Linked DNA regions of Oryctolagus cuniculus. The protein of the gene in region 1 interacts with the protein of each later gene in a biochemical or structural test. Links are inferred from orthologs where the notes say so. Each region holds a gene or a part of one and is shown in the gene's direction. Other genes may lie near its edges.

Evidence for each region.
Region 2: the proteins of GADD45A (region 1) and AURKA form a complex in vitro, tested with the Homo sapiens proteins (2 studies listed by BioGRID). The link is inferred for Oryctolagus cuniculus from reciprocal best matches to the Homo sapiens genes GADD45A and AURKA.
Region 3: the proteins of GADD45A (region 1) and EEF1A1 form a complex in vitro, tested with the Homo sapiens proteins (2 studies listed by BioGRID). The link is inferred for Oryctolagus cuniculus from reciprocal best matches to the Homo sapiens genes GADD45A and EEF1A1.

The regions. Positions count from the first base shown.
Region 1 is NC_091438.1:104,885,819-104,889,839, reverse strand, and holds the start of GADD45A (growth arrest and DNA damage-inducible protein GADD45 alpha), read left to right. Parts: upstream 1-1,221; 5' UTR 1,222-1,615; coding exon 1,616-1,659; intron 1,660-2,114; coding exon 2,115-2,216; intron 2,217-2,465; coding exon 2,466-2,703; intron 2,704-2,896; coding exon of another isoform or gene 2,897-2,943; intron 2,944-3,755; coding exon 3,756-3,869; 3' UTR 3,870-4,021. UniProt on the Homo sapiens protein: In T-cells, functions as a regulator of p38 MAPKs by inhibiting p88 phosphorylation and activity.
Region 2 is NC_091442.1:5,219,271-5,223,350, forward strand, and holds the start of AURKA (aurora kinase A), read left to right. Parts: upstream 1-1,280; 5' UTR 1,281-1,481; intron 1,482-1,764; exon of another isoform or gene 1,765-2,122; intron 2,123-2,161; exon of another isoform or gene 2,162-2,308; intron 2,309-2,435; exon of another isoform or gene 2,436-2,656; intron 2,657-3,682; exon of another isoform or gene 3,683-3,741; intron 3,742-4,080. Other genes in the region: CSTF1 (cleavage stimulation factor subunit 1), read right to left, coding at 16-184. UniProt on the Homo sapiens protein: Mitotic serine/threonine kinase that contributes to the regulation of cell cycle progression.
Region 3 is NC_091436.1:99,027,791-99,031,914, forward strand, and holds EEF1A1 (elongation factor 1-alpha 1), read left to right. Parts: upstream 1-1,324; 5' UTR 1,325-1,352; coding exon 1,353-1,496; intron 1,497-1,753; coding exon 1,754-1,933; intron 1,934-2,046; coding exon 2,047-2,343; intron 2,344-2,423; coding exon 2,424-2,574; intron 2,575-2,675; coding exon 2,676-2,932; intron 2,933-3,098; coding exon 3,099-3,333; intron 3,334-3,435; coding exon 3,436-3,560; 3' UTR 3,561-3,845; downstream 3,846-4,124. UniProt on the Homo sapiens protein: Translation elongation factor that catalyzes the GTP-dependent binding of aminoacyl-tRNA (aa-tRNA) to the A-site of ribosomes during the elongation phase of protein synthesis.

The DNA.
Region 1 (4,021 bases):
CTTTTTCTATTAAATTAAGAGAGCTGGAGAATAATTTGTGCAGAATGATACAAATAAAAGGGTACAGAACTCCCAGGGACCCTTGCAAAAATTTACTTCTGTGACCTTCGACTGTAGAGTGACCTTAATAATGTAAGCACTCTTTTGAACGCAAGCATTTGGAAGGCATTTCCACCAGGTTGGGTGACTTCAGTAAATTTAAGAACTGTTTTTGCATTTATTGCACAAACTCAAAAAACAAAGAAAGGGATTTTTGAACTGTTCAGTGAAAGCCTACACATTAAAGTTTGTTTTCCAGAAGTGTGCAGTTAGAAAAGTCTGCTTTCCACCTCCAAGTTGCCATTATCCCAAAGGTGAGATTGTAGCATATGACTAAAATGACCTATAGCTACAGCTTCATGATTCAGCATCTAACATCAATAATTCACGGTGAGATCATAGGCTGCCTGGGGAAGGTAGGGACACACTCACTTGCTTTATGAAGGGAAGCCGAGGGCACACGGAGACAGAATTTTGAATTTAGACTGGCAGCTCGCGTGGGCGTGGGATGCGTGTCTCCCGCGCCGGGTGTCAGTGCAGAAGGCGCCTTCTCTGCGAGGGGCTCTTTGAGAAAGGTGACCGTGGGCTGTCAGGCAGCGACTCACACATGTGGTCACCAGCTCCCCACAGATCCCAACCAGCCCTGGAGTTCCACAGTCCCACTGGGCGGGTTCGGTAGCCTCTCTGCTTTCTGCGGGAAAAGACGCCAGCTTGGTTCTCTGCCATCCCTGAACACAAATGTGTTGGTTTTTCTTTATTGAGCTTCCAACCCTTGTAACCTTCTAAAAATAAATCAAACCAGCCAACAGGGCACCGAAATACTACTAGGACTAATAAGCAGCTTCGCCTAGCTAGCCTTTGATAAACAACACTGCTGAGGTAAACTTTGCCCTACAGGTTTGGACACACTATTTTCTTTTTTTAAATGTAACCAGCTTAGTAATAATTACCGCACTTGGGTGCATTAACCCTGAAAACAAAAGACATGAAACGATAATTTAAATATGTGCACCAACTAGAAAAACACTCAGCAAACCGGCCTCAGCCTCCCGCCGCGACAAAGCCCTCGGCCCGCCCCCGCCCCACCAACCGCGGAACAGCCAGCTCGCGGCCCCGCCCACCTGCGCCCCGACCGCCCCAGTCCCCTACGCTCGCCTCCCGCGTGACTCCGCCCCCTTCCGCTCCTAATAGCCTGGTTCCAGGAGCCGGGTTCGGATTGCCCAAACCAGGCTGATTGCATAGCCCAATGGTCGTGCCGTATGCAAATAAGGCACGAAGTGGTTGGCTGGGGGCTGGTCGGATAACCCCGGGGCCCTTTGTCCTGCAGTGGCTGTGTGGCAGCTTGCGGTCGTGGTGTCGCGGTCCTCGGCGAAACCAGGGGCCGAGAGCCGGCGGGCGGGAGCAGAGGACGGCGCGGTGGCTGCAGGCGCTGGAGGTGGAGCCCGGACGGAAGAGGGGCGGCCGGACTGCACCAGAGCCTGGGAGCGAGTACGGGGAGCAGGCGCCCGCGCGCCCACGGTGGCAGGAGCCGCCCGCACGCCGCGCGCTCTCTCTGTGAGGGACCTGCAGTTGCAATATGACTTTGGAGGAATTCTCGGCTGGAGAGCAGAAGACCGAAAGGTAAGTCGGCTGCTGGCGTCTGCGACCTGAACTCCTCGCGCCCTGCCCGCGCAGCTCCCTGCACCCGGATTGCGGAGAGTGGAGGGGCGAGCGGGCGGCAAAGTTTGCACAGGGCACCTCCAGCCCTCGCTCCCTCAGGGACCCTCAAGGCGCGTGCCCCCAGCCCGGCCGCCGCTCCCAGAGACTTTGGCAGAGGGCAGCTGTCTGGGGGCAGTGTCCTCCGGGGAGGGTGGCGGGAAGCACTGTCGGGGCTCCTCACCGGACACCCCAGCTTCTGGGCGTGCCGAGGGTCAAGGAGGGGGGTGGGGGTGACGGGGCGGGAGACCCTGGGTTTGCAGAAAGCCGGGGTGCTTGGCGGCACTTGCACTCGTCGAGGCTCGCGGTGCGGGGCCAGGGGCCCGCGGCGGCTCCGAGGTCACGGACTGACGTGCCCCCTCGCCTTTGCCCGCGTGTAGGATGGACAAGGTGGGGGATGCCCTGGAGGAGGTGCTGAGCAAAGCCCTGAGTCAGCGCACCATCACCGTCGGTGTGTACGAGGCGGCCAAGCTGCTCAACGTGTAAGTGGGGCCCCCGCTGTCCCCTGGTGCCCCTGGCCGCCCCAGCCCGCCGGGGTCGCGCTCCCGGGCGCTCCCCTCGCCCTGCGGCGCCGCTTCCGGCCGCCTTCCATCTGTCCCCGAGGCTGCCTTGCGACGAGCGGCGGGTGGTGAGGGGTGGGGGGCAGACCCCGGGGACCCGAGCGGGAGTGTCAGGCGCCCACGCGGGCCGGTGGCGCCCGTGTGCTCACCGGCCCCGCGCGCTGCCCGCAGGGACCCGGATAACGTGGTGCTGTGCCTGCTGGCGGCGGACGAGGACGACGACAGGGATGTGGCGCTGCAGATCCACTTCACCCTGATCCAGGCGTTCTGTTGCGAGAACGACATTAACATCCTGCGCGTCAGCAACCCGGGCCGGCTGGCGAAGCTCCTGCTCCTGGAGACCGACGCCAGCCCGGCGGCCAGCGAGGGCGCCGCGCAACCGCCGGACCTGCACTGCGTGCTGGTGACGGTAAGGGCCTGGGGGACTGCGGGCCGGGCCGGGCCGGGCCGCAGCCCTGGAAGGGAGGGAGTCCAGAGTCGGCTGCCTGCAGCCCGGGCGGGGGCGGGGGTCAGGAGCCTGGCCGCCTTTGGCCCACTGAGGAGTGAGGCGGACTTTCAGCCGGGATGGACTAGTTTCATCATCACGATTTTCTCTGCTAAAGAACATGTCTGAGCACGTTGGAGGCAGCCAGCAGCGGAAGAGATCCCTGTGAGTCAGCAGTCAGCCCAGCTACTCCCTACCTACATCTGCACTACCTCCCGTGACTAATTCCTTTAGCTGGGCAGATTAGATAAAGCCAAATAAATTCCTGGCTCACCCCTCATTAAGGAGTCAGCTTATTCTCTGCCAGTTAAAGCTAAAAATAGAAGTGGTGTAGGAGACAGAACTTATTAATTCCCTAGAAATACATTAAGAGGATAGAGTGGAATTTTTTTTTTAATATACAATCTTGCATTTTTTTAAATGGACCTTTTCCTTGCTGTGATGCAAACCTTTGGGACTAGGTACCTTATGTGTTCCGAGGTAAATGTGCAGGCATTTGAAATCTGTCTTTTTTGACTGGTGTAGTGAAGCTTAATGATTTTGCTGCTCCTGACAAGTACTGTTCTGTCTTTTGGGAAGATAACAGGTGGCAAATTCTGCCAGCTGCTGGGTAGCTCCCATTGTGTGCACAGCCTGGAACTGCTTCTCAGTCTTGCTTCTCCCAGGGCTCTGCCAGGGTACAGCTTTGGTAGAGCAAATCTGTGAGTGATAACTGTCATGCAAAACTGAGCCAGTACCGTGCAAACAGGTGTGGCTCAGTGCTGGCTGCACATTTTAGACGTCGCTGAGATCGTATCCCAGTTACCTAGAAGAAACTTTATTTATTGTGCATGTAACTTGTCCCTGTGCCTTGCAGCCACAATATAGAATGTTCAAATGTCTTCCCATCAAGAGTAGAGTACTTGTAAGCAAATGCTGTTTTGTTTTTATTTTTTAGCAATAAATTTATGTCTCTTATCTCCCCCCTCTCCCCCCAGAATCCACATTCATCGCAATGGAAGGATCCTGCCTTAAGCCAACTTATTTGTTTCTGCCGGGAGAGTCGCTACATGGATCAGTGGGTCCCAGTGATTAATCTTCCTGAACGGTGATGGCATCTGAATGAAAATAACTGAACCAAATTGCACTGAAGTTTTGAAATACCTTTGTAGTTACTCAAGCAGTTACTCCCTACACTGATGCAAGGATTACAGAAACTGATGTCAAGAGGCTGAGTTCAACTACATGTTCTGGGGGCCCGGAG
Region 2 (4,080 bases), on another chromosome or scaffold:
GGATTCCCGAGCTACCTAGTTTGATGAGATGCAGGAGCTGCTCGGAGGGCGCACAGACCGACTGCGGCTTGATCTCGTTGATGAGGCCGTTGGCGATGCTGATGTAGCCGTCATAGAGCAGCTGGCTGATGATGAGCTTGTACAGCTGCTGGCGGTCCTTCAGGCCCACTTTGGTTCTGTACATCCTGGGGGTGAGGACAGCGTCCCTGCCAGCTGCAAGAAAACAGGTGGACGGTGACGCACCGCTCAGTCAGCCGCCACGCAGGGTCTCCCTCAGGCTGTAAATCCCTGCTCTGCGGCTGCAGAATCTCGGGTCAGGGCCATCACTCCCCTGAGCCAGCTTCCGCAGGTGGTAACTAAGAGAAGACGGCATAAGCTGCATGGCAAGCACTGGGTACAGCCCCGGCACCCAGGAATCGCTCACGCCGGCCACCACGTGCAGTGGGACCCCTCACCGGTTCTCCTCTGCACGGGTACCCCAGAGTCTTCCATTTCTCTGGTCAACACTGACCCGTGCTTGCAACAGGCAAGACAACTGCTCTTCTGTCCAATGTCTAGGTTAGTTTCCATCAGCTGAGCCGCGTTTGCCCGTGTCTGTTACCTTCAGTCTTAACACCTGCTTTAGGGCACGTGCGCTTGTGACTAATTGTGTGATTTAAAGGTGAGCTACTTACTAAGCCTTTCCGAGAAGAGATACAGCAAAGACAACTATAAAAATAGAAACGATATAAAGATCCAGACTGATTCACGAGTACCCAAGTTTCCTTCAATGTTAGTTAAATGTAGAACTAGATGATGGCCCCTGGTTTATACAAACAAGAACGCTAGCTGGTGGACTTCCCCAGATAATCTGACGAATCAGTGTCTAGGGCTAGGACTGGACCTAACGGCTAGGACGCCCCAGGGCATCCGATGTCCGAGTGCGGGTCGAGTCCCGGGGCTGCTGCCGCCAGCTTCCTGCGGGCCTGTGCCACCCACACACAGAATTCTCCGAGGCTGGCCCTGGCCTGGCTTAGCCAAGCTGCTGTGGGCTTCTGGGGAGTGAATCAGCAGGTAGGAAGTAAATTAAATACGAATATCTGTACGCATACGCATGTCTGGGCAGACACGGGAAGGCTGCAGGTGTCTGTAACTGTAATGAAAATAAGAGCGACTTCAGAGCCCGAGTTCTAACTACCGGTGGGCCCTACAGCACCAGTGCTTCCTGATGCGCGGGTTAACTGTCGGATACGGGGCGGGCACTCTGTAAAGGCCCACGCCCGTGCAGGCGACGCCGGGACCCAACGGAGCCGACGCAGCGGGCTCACAGGGGTCGGGACGCCCGCTCCAGTGCAAGGGTGGCCGAGCAACTCCCCCGGGACGCGACCACCACCCTGTCCCGTCTCCACGCTTGCAGGCGCGCATCGTGCCGGGTAGGAAGGGCATAAAGGAACAAAAAGGCGAAAGGGTCGGTCAAGCCGCCGCACCGGCCCAGTTTGCAGGTGAGGACACTGAGGCACGAGGGCAGAAGAACCCGACCCGCCACGGTGTCAGAGGGGCCAGGTGGCGCAGAGGCGACCTCGAGCTGGGGTCGGGCTGGGAGCGAGGCCCTGGGGAAGGGGAAAGGGTGTGCAGGCCCACCCCGCAACTCGGGGCGCCAGCTCGGGGCGCCCGCCACCTCGCTCACTCTCGACCTTCCCGCCTCGCCCCGGCCCTTCGGGTGGTCCACTAAAGGGCCCAGACGACCACCCCAGCCACTCCTGCCGTATCCCCGGACCCCCATACCCGCAGATCCGGCTCTCTCGCTCTCCCGCTCTCTCCGAGAAAAATGGAGGCGCGAATCCTGCCCAATCGATCGCTCCGGGCGCACGTTTGCTGCGCACGCGCGAAGGGCGCCACGCCGAGCGCTGCGTTATCGATGGGTCCCAATCTCCCTTGTGCTTCTCGCCATCTTACTTACTGGCACGTTCGAGCGCTTCCTTCGCCAATTCCGACTTTATCTCCTATGGGACATTCCTGACTCCAAGGGGCTGTAGTCTCATGGGCAAATGCCTGATCCCAGAGAGCAGCGCGGGGGTTAGAACGGGCACTGGCCGGACGGGCCGTTGGCTCCCCCACTTCCGGGGTCTCACGGGGCAAGTGCGCCTGCGCGCCGTCTGCGCCGCCGTGCTTGTTGTGAGCCAATCACAAAGTGACTCGCTGTAGCTCAGGCCAATCAGCTTTCGGGTTGGAGGGTTTAACTCCTATTTAAAATGAAAAACCTTTGAATCCTAACGGCTGAGCGCTGGGAAGGACACCGCGCCTCTGCGTCGGAGGCGAGGGTCAGCCGGTGGGTAGACCGTGGGGGGCAGCTCTGCGAGTGGGAGCCGGGACGAGGGGCGCCGGCTGGGGCGGGCGGGATCGGGCAGAGCCGCGGCGGCGCATTCCCTCGGCGCCGGGCGCCCGGGGAGACGCACCTGAGGGGCGTCCGGCGTGAGTCCTGGGGGTTTGGGGTTCACGCCGCAGTGGTGGTGGTGGTGAGGTAGGGGCGGCGGAGGAAGTGACAGAGCCGTGCGCGCGTGTGGCTCCCGGCGGGGACAGCAGCCGGGGGAGCCTGTGCGGGCCGGAGCCGGCAGCAGCGGTATCGGGACCGTGTGAGGTCCTCGTTACCCGCACGGCCGCGCCCCTCGGGGGACAGACAGGGGCCGGTGCGTGTCGGCCGACCGGCCGGCGGTGTCCAGCGCGGCGTGCGGTTTACGCGTCCCGGTCCGTTTCTAACGGACGTCCGGGGAGGCCCGCGGAGCTGCCGCGTAACTCCTCCCGGTTTGCTGAATTGAAAGCTTGCCGGCGGCACACGGGGTCCCCGGCCCGTGCCCTCCGTCCCCGCGCACCGCCGCAGGTCGGGGGAGGGGAAGTAGGAGCCCCCTGTAGGATGAGGGGGTCGCGGGGTCGGCCCGAATGGGCCCTCGAGGGGCTCCTGGCCTCGCGGGTGCTGGATCTGCAGACGCTGCCTTGCAGGCGTCTCTCCGCAGGGTGCTGGATTCGTAGCCCGCTGCGTTCTGCTTGTCCTTCGTCTGCCTGAGCGAGAGCCCGGAGTAAGCGGGAGCAAAGGCCTGTAGGTGTTTCCGGAAGAATTGAGGTCTGCGTGGGCCGGGTACGAGGGCTGTGACCTGGACTTGTTCTGGACGGTGCAGCAAAGCATTGCAACGTGTCTGCAGCCCTGAGTGCCTAACGCACGCTTGCGTTTCCTTGTCGTTACTCTTACTAACCCCGTTTCATGTGAGGGCAGACCCGTCTGCATTGTGGAGCTGATATTGGGGGGCTGGGGAGCGCTGTCTGGTTGCATTCCAGAATTCTGATAAGAGGTGTGCTGACTCCCAGTGCGGGCTCACCGAACGTTGTAAACGATACTTGTTGTTGGTTCCCTTCGTCAGGGGGTTGAGTTACTCTCAGCACTGGCGCGTGTGCAAACGTGCTAGACGTGGTTCCGGTTCTGGGACAGCGATAGAGGACCAAGTGGAGCCAAGCCCTGCTCTCTCGGAACTTCCGCCTCCACCTGCCTGGCCTGGGAGGGGGACAGTAAGCAGATGTGCGTCTGTGTCAGGCGTCAGTGCAGTGGGGAGGTGGTCCCTGAAGGGAGCGTTTCCGCAAAGACCTGAGTGAGGTGTGAATGAGCTGCACTTGGGCAGAGGGAACAGGAAGTGCGAAGGCCCTGCGGAGGGAAGCAAGGGGCCGTGTGCAGGCAGGAGAGGCGCTGGGTCAGGGGCGGCCGCCTATCTGCAGGTAGGGGTACGAATTGTTTTTTCTTTCGAGTTGGGAGTGTGGGGGGCAGGGGGCTTCTGAACCCGGGGCCACACAGCTGTTTGTTAGTGAGCTCACTAGCCGCGGTGATGAGGAGGAGGGAGCCGGGCAAGGCTGAAGTGGGCGACCTTCGGGGCCGCCTGTGGGTGGAGCAGATGGCAGTAGAGGTGGTGAGCAGTGCCTGATTTTTTTTTTTTTTGGAAGGTAGAGTCAACAGAATCTGAACGGATGGGACACGTTTGAGAAGGGGAACCACATCGTGATACGCTGAGGCTTTTGGCCTGAGCAGCAGCAGGATGGGTTCACTGTCAGCTTGGGGAA
Region 3 (4,124 bases), on another chromosome or scaffold:
GCCCAGGGACCGTCGCTAAACTCCCGTTACCCTAGAACCGAGAGATCGCCGCGTCCCCGCCCCCTACCCCTCGCGCTCGTCGTCACCGGGACCGAGGCGAGCATGCGCGAGGCGCTGTGTGCTCGTCAGTGGTCGGAGCGCACATCGCCCACGGTCCCCGAGGCGTTGGGGGAGGGGACGGCGATTGAACCGGTGCCTAGTGGAGGTGGCGCGGGGCAAACTGGGAAAGCGGTGTCGTGTGCTGACTCCGCCCTCTTCCCGAGGGTGGGGGAGAACCGTATATAAGTGCCGTAGTCGCCCTGGACGTTCTTTTTCGCAACGGGTTTGCCGCCAGAACACAGGTGAGTGTCGGGTGTGGCTTCCGCGGGTCTGGCCTTGAGCGGGCTGGGGCCCTCGCGTGCTCGGGGACACTGCCATGCCACTGAGCCTCTTGACGAGGTTCCTGGCTCCGAATTTCGGGCTGTAACGGGGCGGGAGGGTTGGAGGTTTGCGCGTTTTCCAGGAGCCTCTTCCTCGTGCTGGAGTTGAGGCCTGGCGTGGCCGCCGCGTGCGAGTCCTCTCGCCTTCGCGCCGGCCTGGCTAGCCTCGCTCGCGGGGCCCTTCGGCCCTTTGAGTTTTTACGTGGATCGGTACGGCTCTTTTTTTGTTCGTCGAGATGGGCCCGCCGAGGCCGGGCGGGCTACCCCGCGCGTTCGTCGTCCGGCCCGAGGGGGTGGCAGGGCGGCCGCGCGGCGTAGGGACAGCGAGCGGCGGGGCCCGCCCGTCCGGGCGCACATGTCGGGCGCGGCCTGGGCGAGGCCCGACGGCGCCGCGCCTGCCCAGGCCGGGCGAGGGGAGAGGCGAGGGTCGTGGGGCGGGCGGCTCGGTGGGGCCGCGGCCGCCCCACCCCGGGCGGCGGAGCCCGGCCCGCTCGGCACCAGTTGCGTGCGCGGAAAAAGATGGCCGCTCGCCGTCCCCGCTGCAGGGAGCTCAAAATGGAGGACGCGGTGGCCCGGGAGAGCGGGCGGGTGAGTCACCCACACAAAGGAAAAGAGCCTTCCCCTCTTCGGCCGCCGCTTCCTGCGACCCCACGGGGTACAGGGCGCCGTCTGGGCACCTGGCTTCTTCGTGTGGCCTTTGGAGTTCGGCTTGGCTCGGCTGGGGGCGGAGATTTTTTAGGCGATGGAGTTAACTCACTCGGTGGGTGGAGACTGAAGAGTTAGGCCAGCTTGGCATTGGATGTAATTCTCCTTGGAATTTGCCCTTTTGAGTTTTGAACGTGGCTTAGTCTCAACCCTCGGACAGTGGTTCAAAGGTTCCCCCCCTTTTTCCATTTTAGGTGTCGTGAAAACCACCGCTAAATCAAAGCCAAAATGGGAAAGGAAAAGACTCACATCAACATCGTCGTCATTGGCCACGTAGATTCGGGCAAGTCCACCACCACTGGCCATCTGATCTACAAATGTGGTGGCATCGACAAAAGAACCATTGAAAAATTTGAGAAGGAGGCTGCCGAGGTATGTCCAGTATCGCAAGGGAAAGATGCTGAATTACATTAAGTCTGGCCACTAAAATGAGAGTGCTATGACTATAAAAGACAACAGTGATTAGTTGTCTGAATGTGAATGTTAAAATCACGAGCCACCATATCGACTGGAGAGCCACCTAGGCCCAGCAGTTTGGGAAGCGGAATGCATTCCCAAGCGGAGGGGGGCATGGGGTTTCAAGCTTTGCTGTGTCTTAGTAACCGTCTGAGTGCTCTGTGTAATTACAGATGGGAAAGGGCTCCTTCAAGTATGCCTGGGTCTTGGATAAACTGAAAGCCGAGCGTGAGCGTGGTATCACCATCGACATCTCCCTGTGGAAATTTGAGACCAGCAAGTATTACGTGACTATCATTGATGCCCCAGGACACAGAGACTTCATCAAAAACATGATTACAGGCACATCTCAGGTTTGTGCAACTAGTAACTGTAGACATAAGGTTTTCTAGGCGGGGGGTGGGTGAGTTCCTCCTTAGGTTTGAGGTACCTTCGTTCACAGTGTGTGTCCTTGATTTCTTTAAAGGCTGACTGTGCCGTCCTGATTGTTGCTGCTGGTGTCGGGGAATTTGAAGCTGGTATCTCCAAGAACGGGCAGACCCGTGAGCATGCCCTTCTGGCTTACACGCTGGGTGTGAAACAGCTAATTGTTGGTGTTAACAAGATGGATTCCACTGAGCCACCCTACAGCCAGAAGAGATACGAGGAAATCGTTAAGGAAGTCAGCACCTACATTAAGAAAATTGGCTACAACCCTGACACAGTAGCATTTGTGCCAATTTCTGGTTGGAACGGTGACAACATGCTGGAGCCAAGTGCTAATGTAAGTGACTTTCAAGACAGTGCTTGTTAAAGAGCTGGAAGTGGTGATGTGATAGAATTAATTGTTCTCTTGTGTTTCAGATGCCGTGGTTCAAGGGATGGAAAGTCACCCGCAAAGATGGCAATGCCAGTGGAACCACACTGCTTGAAGCCCTGGACTGCATCCTTCCACCAACTAGACCAACTGACAAGCCTCTGCGTCTGCCCCTACAGGATGTCTACAAAATTGGTGGTAAGTTGGGTATTAATGTAACATCAGAATATAACTTGAATTGGAACAGGTGAAAAATCTTTGGCCCTCAATAACTCTTTGGTAATCTGCAAATATTTTAGGTATTGGCACTGTCCCTGTGGGCCGAGTGGAGACTGGTGTTCTCAAACCTGGCATGGTGGTAACTTTTGCTCCAGTCAATGTCACAACTGAAGTCAAGTCCGTCGAAATGCACCATGAAGCTTTGAGTGAAGCTCTTCCTGGGGACAATGTGGGCTTCAATGTCAAGAACGTGTCTGTCAAAGATGTTCGTCGTGGCAACGTTGCTGGTGACAGCAAAAATGACCCACCAATGGAAGCAGCTGGCTTCACTGCTCAGGTAACAATTTAAAATGATCTGTTAATTGACAATGTTCATGCATACTCAAGGGGGTAAGCAATCTGATGCATGTATGAAGTGTTATCACATCAGGGGAGTTAGCATTTCTAGCTGTTACCACAGTTCAGTTTGAGAAGCACTAAAATGCATATCCTTTTTTTCCCAGGTGATCATCCTGAACCATCCAGGTCAGATCAGTGCTGGGTATGCCCCTGTACTGGATTGTCACACAGCTCACATTGCTTGCAAGTTTGCTGAGCTGAAGGAAAAGATTGATCGTCGTTCTGGAAAGAAGTTGGAAGATGGCCCTAAATTCTTGAAATCTGGTGATGCTGCCATTGTTGATATGGTTCCCGGCAAGCCCATGTGTGTTGAGAGCTTCTCTGACTATCCTCCTCTGGGTAAGGATTTTTTTTTTTATTGCTATTACAAGTTGTACTAAAGATTAACAATTGCTTCTGTGAACTATGTGTCTCATGGCAACTCAATACTTGTTTTAATAGGTCGTTTCGCTGTCCGTGATATGAGACAGACGGTTGCTGTGGGTGTGATCAAAGCAGTGGACAAGAAGGCTGCTGGAGCTGGCAAGGTCACCAAGTCTGCCCAGAAAGCTCAGAAGGCTAAATGAATATTACCCCTAATACCTGCCACCCCAGTCTTAATCAGTGGTGGAAGAACGGTCTCAGAACTGTTTGTCTCAATTGGCCATTTAAGTTTAATAGTAAAAGACTGGTTAATGATAACAATGCATCGTAAAACCTTCAGAAGGAAAGGAGAATGTTTTGTGGACCATTTTTTTTGTGCGTGGCAGTTTTAAGTTATTAGTTTTTAAAATCAGTACTTTTTAATGGAAACAACTTGACCAAAAATCTGTCACAGAATTTTGAGACCCATTAAAACAAAGTTTAATGAGAAACCTGTGTCTTCTTGTCAACACTGGACCTGTCAAATGTGTTCCAGGTTTTTCTAATTAGAATTGGCTGGAATTTTAAAACTCCATGGGTTAGGGATTTTTTCCCACCTGTTTGTTTTAAGCTATGGAGGGCTGTTAGCCCTGCTGGTTAGAACTGTTGACATGTAATTTAGTTTAGAAAGCAAAATTCTGTAATCTTAAGGGATGAAATGTTGCATATAAAATTGTGTAGCTACAAGTAAATTTGTTAGAATCATTAAATTTTGGTTTCCCAAATTA